2 linked regions of the Saccharomyces cerevisiae S288C genome follow. The gene in region 2 interacts genetically with the main gene of each other region. Each region holds a gene or a part of one and is shown on either strand. Other genes may lie near its edges.

Region 1 (3,788 bases), on a different chromosome or scaffold from region 2:
TCCGTACTTAATGAGAACGTTGGAGCAGCGTCACGGGTGCGCAGTGGTAGTGGCTGTTGCCTTTATGTGCCTGGACTCAAGACTGACATGTCTCCATAACGCTAGGTAGCATTTTTATATACTTAACAAAAGTTGTAAAAAATAAAAACAAAAATTATATATATGGACTCGACAAAATACAGTGGGATGGATGTTTAAAAAAAATAGGGTAAGAAAGGAAAAAGGAAATATAATAAAGAAAGCCTTCAGAAAATACGTTCTTTATTTTTATCACACTATTAGCAATGACTTTCACATTTTAAAGGAAAATAATAGTATTAAAAATTAAACAGTGACGAAGGAAGGAAATAAGACACAGAAAAACTAAAAAAATAGAGTAAGTTTATAGGCCCTTTTATTTTTCGAGCAATAGTAAATTGAGTTTCTTCTTCTTTTTCTCTCCCTTTTTCGTAGTAATTTTTTTTTTAAAAATAGTATAATATAATGAATGGATTCTTGTCGTTCTTTTTTTATTTTATCTTGGGATTTGTAGGTTGCCTCTCTTTATTCTTTCTTTTTGTTTCATTCCACTTTTCTTCATAATATTTATTGTTGTTGCTGCTGTTGCTGCTGTTGCTGTTGTTGCTCAGACATAACCGGTTGTTGTTGGTCATTCATTATAAGTGGCTGACCGCCCTGTTGCTGCTGCTGTGGCATAAAATTTGATCTTTCCTTACCCCAACCGGTTCTCAAGTTTCTGCCTTGAAATGGGAAGTTTGCCAAGGCAACAATACAAACAGCGGCCTGTTCATGAGTGTCATACTTTATGAAGCAACAGCCCTTTTCTGGATAGTGCTTGAAATCTAAAATAAAACCGAAGTTCTGGAACAACGGAATTAAATCAGCTTCAGTGGCAAAGTGCGGAATATTACCGATATAGGCAGTAGTAACTCTTGGTGGGGCACTTCTAATGATGTGGTCAACAGCTTGAGGATTTACTTGAGGAGGTAAACCAATGGTCTGGGATTGTTGGGGTTGGCCTTGAGATGGTAATGGCATGGCGCCAATTGGCATTCCCATTGAACTTGGTGGCATGCCCCTGCTGTTGTTCATATTCATATTCATGTTCATATTCATCCCCATATTCATGTTGTTATTGTTGTTACTGTTATATTGACGGAAACCACCACGGTTGTTGTTACCGTAGTTACGACGCTGTTGATAATTATTATTGTTATTGTTATCACGCTTAGCAGCCCAGTTGATTCTTAGCGGTCTACCATTCAAATCTTGACCTTGCATGCTGTCCATGGCATTTTGTGCATCATCTTGAGAAGTAAAGGAAACAAAACCGTAACCTCTTGAACTACCAGTTTGCATGTCCCACATAACATGACCACTCAAGTAGGATGGGAAGTCTTTGAAGGCATTCCTTAAAGTTTCGTCATCAACATTAACATTCAAATCACCGACAAACAAGTTAAATGTATCATCGGAGGAACTCTGTTGGGATTGGAAGGCCCAGTTGATTTTGACAATGTTGTTTTCAATTTGTTTGCCGTTCAATGTTTGTAAGGCAATATTGGCATCGTGAGATTGATGGTATTCAACAAAAGCGTAATTGACGTTCTTATTATTCTTATCGATCATGATTTTGATGTTAGCAATTGGTCCGCCAACTTGGAAATATTGCTTTAAAATGTCTTCGGTGATAGCTTTGTCTAGGTTACCAACATATAAAACTCTATCGGAAGTTTCCCTACCACCGGTAATAGCATTAGCAGGAACTACGGAAGGATCATTTTCACCCTGATTGTCTTCAGCTTGTTCAGAATTGCCTTCGACAGCGACGCTCTGTTCAGAAGAAGGATCTGCTGATGCTGGAGCTTCAACTGCCGAGGGAGTTTCGACGGCAACAGGTTGCTGTTGTTGTTGTTGTTGATGTTGTTCTTCGTTATTTTCAGACATTGGAATCGAACAAAGAGTAGATGTGGTAATCTTCTTATTATGAACCTGCTATTAAGATGATAGAAGGGAAGATTAAACTCTAACTTAAAGCACGAAATGGAAACAGTAGATATTATGAAAATAACTGCAGAGTAGAAAAAAGGAAAGGCATGCTTTACCGTAGTTGAATGATTATTACGAGAGGAAAATGAAGGACAAGGAAAGACGGCCAACGATGAAAAAAAAAAATTGAAAAATTACAACAAAAAAGAAGCGAAGGCAAAAAAAGTTGAAAAAAGTACGAAGTGAAAATACGTAAAGAATTATGTTACAAAATGATGAAAAGAGAACGAGTAAATATTCTCTTTGAATTAATTAGTATACGTTAGGATAATTAATCTTCAGAGGTTTAGTAAGAACATTGTGCTTACAACCGCAACGCGTAAACCTTATGCTAACAAGCCTCTTCGTTCACCTCCCTTGTAACGGCAGTGGGAAGGGTAAGCAAAATAAATCACATTGCGAGAAATGTAAAAAAAGAATGGTCTCTAGCGGGATCGAACCGCTGATCCCCGCGTTATTAGCACGGTGCCTTAACCAACTGGGCCAAGAGACCATTGTTATCTGTTTTTCACCCTCCCTCCACACTATCAAACCAACGTCACAAATGTGTGCCAGAACCACCGCTCATTATCTCTGTGCCACAAAAATCAACTTACACTGTCATTCGAATTTCCGGCAAACTCCGACTGAGAAATGTTCGTACTACTTCCTTTCTAGGGCACATTAAAGGAAAAACTCATTGAATGCACCCTTCACAAATCTTAATATCTCTGACCTTTGCATTGTATTAACCAAGCAACCCTCCCTGTGCAAGTAGAAGCCCTGGATCCTTTGTGGTCGTAAAATGAACAAATACCAATAAGACGAAAACAAAAACAAAAACAAAACGACATAGCAACAATGCGGAATTATTTAAGGCTGGCACTCTTTCCGCATGTTTATCACAATTATTTCCACTTTCACTTAAAACCTTGTTTAAGCTTGGCCTACACCACAGGAAAAAAAACCATCCGATCTAATCTTCAAATATCAATTTGAGGTTGAAAAAATTTGCTAAAGCGTTGGTCTAATTTTGTTTTTCGCCCACATAATGTCTACATCTTTCCAGGAGTTCAAGGCCTTCTGCAACAAGGTTGGGCTAGACTTTCAATGGCTTAATTTGCAATCCTCCAAGTCTGTTCCCGAAAACGGTTCCTCTGAAGGTTTCTCAGCCGTCAGTGATACCGTACAAGAAAACATCAGACCAGCTACGGAACCACTTAACGTCAACCAGTCCAAAGATCCTGTCAGCAACTTTTTTTATGATGTCAAGAATGCTCCACTCTGGAACGTGTATAAGAGGAATCATTCCGGTCATTCTTCTGCTGAGGCTTGTTCTGGAGTAAGTTCAAGGCAGGCGCCAAAAAACATACCCGAGGCAATGGTAAAAGAGACAGTCCTTTCTAATCACGACAATGTCACCATAATAAACGAATTACTGCCAACTTCTTCTGCCATGCATCAGGAAGAAAGCACCGCTATGACAACCTCCTACCTCTTATCCCACTCCGTAAACGATACTTGCAACGTGATGTTTTCTTCCTCCTCCCACAACCGTGCTATGCTCCCATCTTCTCTTGTGCAAAGAAATAACGCTACCACATCTCCCACAACAGACTCTGCATCAGAAAACAACGAATCGGTACCCTCACTAACCTCATCTGTTAGCACATCCTCATCAGTTTATTCGTCATGGAATCCTCCTCATTCTCCACACATATCGTCATTTCCAGACGGCAATTTCGCATCGCTTAACGCAG
Region 2 (3,895 bases):
GCTCTTGTTATCTATGGTTTCTGTTTGCCTACCAACGCAAGTGCCTGTAACTTTCAAAACAATGAATTATGCTTTAATGGTGTACGTATTCTGCATTTTAGTTATCACTGGTCTTTATTTCAAATGGGGGAAGTATAATTTTAGATTACCCTTGGCAGATGACATCAAGGCTCCAATTCCCAGTGATGCGGAAGAAACTGTTTTTGAACTAGAGGATAGCAATGTTGAACATACTCTAAACTCGGGAACCACAGTGAAAGAGTCTGTAGAAAATAATTCTGAAGAAGGTTTCATCAAGGTGCATCCTAAAAGTAGTACAGAAAATCCCTTTGAGGAAAATGAGGAAAACGTGATAACCGATTATGGTGATGAGCACCATACAGCAGAACAAGAATTTGATCTTGCCGATGATCGTAGATATGATATATGATATATGATCGTGATTATACACCGTTATTTAATGGGAAAAGACTTATATAGAAAGAATATACGTAGTTTTAATTTATCAAGTGAAAAGGGCACTCGCTAGAATTAGCAAAACGCCAGTGCAGCACCATTTCAAGCAAGTTGTGCCTGAGCTATGGGACTGTTTCATTTCTTCATCACCTTCTCCTTGATGATGATGATGTCCATCGCTAAATCCGATACCAGTTTGGAACATTTGTAAACCAATTACTAATAGGAACCCTGCAGTAACGCTCAGTAAAAAATCCATGTTGGGTTCGTGATCCCTTGGAGTACTACCTTTAAAGATGAAATAACCTATCAATGCACCTAATGGTTGAGATCCACCACCGAGAACGGCAGTAATCAAAATGGCAACCCATTTAGATTCGAAAACAGTGTAGAATGGTAACGTCATTGCAAATCCTTCGACAAAATTATGGATCGTCAAACTTAAAAAAATGGAAAATCCCAAGGACTTTGACGAATCTGACCTGTTAGTGTAAAAAATAATAAACCCTTCGGGAAATTTGTGTAATGCAAGGACTAGACAAGTTTGCATACCAATAGACAGTAATTTGGAAAAAGGGGTCTCTAAGTGATGATGGTGGGGGTATAATGAACCATTTTCGGGATGGTATTGTGTGTCTGCCAATGCGGCCGGATTCTCAGTTACATCATTTCCCAAAGGTGACGAAAAAGAGTGCGACAACTGGTTGGAACCATAATTTTCGGGCGATTCAGAGGAATGATGATGGCGGCTCGAAAGAAAATTCTTACGGTACAACGATAGGTTTTCAAGATCGTAACCGATATTATTTTCCACGCATACAAGGCCACGATGATCCTTGTCATCGGATTGTCCATTATCTTCTGATCCCTCGCATCCATGTGGCACGTTTCTTTCACTTTGAGAAGACTTTATCACTGGTGGGACACATGCAATATATTCTGGCTGCTCTGATTGCAAGAGCGGAGTGCACTTGTTTAGGTCACAACACTCGCCTTCTGATTTCCTTCTGGTTAATAAGTCAATTAGGGACATTTTCTTTTTCATTTGGGGTCTATCGCTATCCTTTGTAATCAACGGGTCATTTTCAGAAACACTGGAAGAAGATGTTGCATAACCATGCTCAGAGGGAGCATTTTCTAAATCATGATCGTTGCTAAAATTCGAATGCGAATCCGCATGTGAGTGTGAGTGCGAATGCGAATGTGATTTGGAGTGTATATGTGAACCTGTAGCATGGTCACCGCTATCAGCACAGTGTACCAACGATTCGCTGGCGAAAGCGTGGACTAGGTAGTTTAAGAAAAAACTGAGGCAAATACCCAAAAGCAATCCAGGAAAAACCTTGAACCGGTTTGATTTTTCGATCCGAGGCAATAGCATGTATAGTGAAGTAGTGATCATAGATCCGGCACTTAGAGAAAGACCATAGTTGACCAACTTAGATTGGCTATTGCGCTTGCTATCGAAGGCAACCGATAACAACGGCACACACAGGGCCCCAAGTATGCACAGCACCGACGATATAAGAGAAAACAACAACCACCTGGGAATTTTTTCCATTTTCTTGCGTTTCTTCACTGTGATGCTTGTGAGAATATTAGGATATACCAACGTGCAACTCTGAAATGTCAAAACGGTCGTGTATAAATAAATGATATACCAGTAGGTGAAATCATCTCATTTGTCTTTCTAAAAAAGTCCATTACCCTTAAGGTTGTTGTCACAACCCACGGAGCAGTTTTAGAGGTGCAAAATTGAAAGAATGGCCACATTTTGAGCAATTCATCGACAACAAGAGCTTATGATTAACTTGGGTTGTGGGCAATTGGGTGTACTATGAAGCAGCCAATACCTGTTTTACAACAGTATTCTCAGTTTCAGCTTAGAGATGTGTCAAATCGAAGGCTAGTGTGGTGCACGGAGTTTATGGCACATTGGTAAGTAATCATTGCAACTTTTTTTTATTTGAGGAATATAGTAAGAGAGAAGCTTTAGTGATGGTCAAAGAAGAGAGGAATACAAGTGAGTTGTATCTAGGATTTTTTATTACGTGAGTGTTGTTTTACTTTAGTCGGTAGGAATCATTGTTATTTTTGTCTGTTTGTTTGTCTCTATTTTTGGGTACACGTGCGTGTTTCTTCTAGTGGATGGTTTGAACGAAGCAGGTTCTCAGGATTGATTGATTGATCTGCTTTAGTGTGTAACGTTCTGCGACTAGCTTTCGTTGCTACCGATATATAAAGAAAAAAAGGAGAGCGTGTGTTTGGAGCGTCTTAAACCCCATTGGTGAGAGCCTCCAGTACCATTTGCCTGTTAAAACTGTCTTGTGTGTGGCCTTGTAGAGAAGGTGAAGAGGGAGAGTTTATATGTTGGGTAATTTACTGAGAAATAAGACGAGTTCGTCTGGTTTTGAGAAGAGCTCAGAGCATTCCGATTTTTCCTCCGTAGTTCCCAATGTCCCTGTATACTGCAAAGCGGCAAGCACAGGAACTACTAAGACCGCTGCTGGAGCTCTTTTAGATACTGCAGTCAATGTGGAAAAGCCTTCGGAAATGCTATCAACGACTTCTCCGCCCATTTTAGATCATATATCGGATGACTTAAAACTGAAGCTTTTCGGCTCGAGGGATATTCCTTATAGTCGTCCTATCGATACGTTACAAAACAACGGAGGTCTTGGTACTGATAAAATCACGTCTATTAACGAAAAAACGTATGCATTCAGGATTTTGATCATTGAGGAAGCGGGTCAAATGGCGTGTAGGAACAACTACCGTGATATCTTCGATTACACTACGTCAAAGATTTCAAATTCGATGGAGCAGATACGGCCGAGTGAATTGAAGGAATATATATTTGGTTCTCCCGTAAGATCTTCCGATTTGACGCAGTGCGACAAGATAAGGACGATTCCTAACTCGGATTTGGTACTCATAACTAGAATTTTCTATTACACACACCAATACAACCGCATCGCAATTAGCTTATGCATACCGAGGATATTGTTGCCCGTAGTTGCAGAGTCGTGGTCTTCCATTTCATCATGGTTGACCCAGACTCAAAAAATGCTCATTGGTTTCTTGACTAAAAACCGTATTATGCAAGAAAATACTGGCAATTACAGCAATAATTCAGTCATAAAATTGTCAAATATTGACATCAGGACGCATTATCCCAAGGAAATTGAAATAATGGTGCAAACTTTACAAAAAAGAGTCATACCAGGTTTACGTTCTATGTCTGAGATTCCTAGGCTTTTCCTTTACCCTGAGACATTTAAAGAATTCGTTCACGTTTGGTTCAAAAGTATATTTAATTGGATTGAAATCAAAGATGGACCGAAACTAGGCTTCCTTCCTCTCCTAATGGCAATGATTATATCTGATTACAGGCACACTATAAGAGAACTAAAGACATCCAAGATCGTAATCCTGTCAG

What was found.
Region 1: mutations in ZRT3 (region 2) and PUB1 together harm fitness more than expected from each alone (negative genetic interaction), as found in Saccharomyces cerevisiae (2 studies listed by BioGRID).

What each region holds. Positions count from the first base shown.
Region 1 is NC_001146.8:601,066-604,853, reverse strand, and holds PUB1 (Pub1p), read right to left. Parts: upstream 1,948-3,788; coding exon 586-1,947; downstream 1-585. Other genes in the region: YNL018C (uncharacterized protein), read left to right, coding at 3,080-3,788. UniProt on the Saccharomyces cerevisiae protein: May be associated with hnRNA within the nucleus and remains associated during nucleocytoplasmic mRNA transport, once the proteins are in the cytoplasm, disassembly of PUB1-RNA complexes may occur prior to PAB1 binding and formation of a translationally competent RNP complex.
Region 2 is NC_001143.9:116,915-120,809, reverse strand, and holds ZRT3 (Zn(2+) transporter ZRT3), read right to left. Parts: upstream 2,018-3,895; coding exon 506-2,017; downstream 1-505. Other genes in the region: TPO5 (Tpo5p), read left to right, coding at 1-430; LST4 (Lst4p), read left to right, coding at 2,824-3,895. UniProt on the Saccharomyces cerevisiae protein: Transports zinc from storage in the vacuole to the cytoplasm.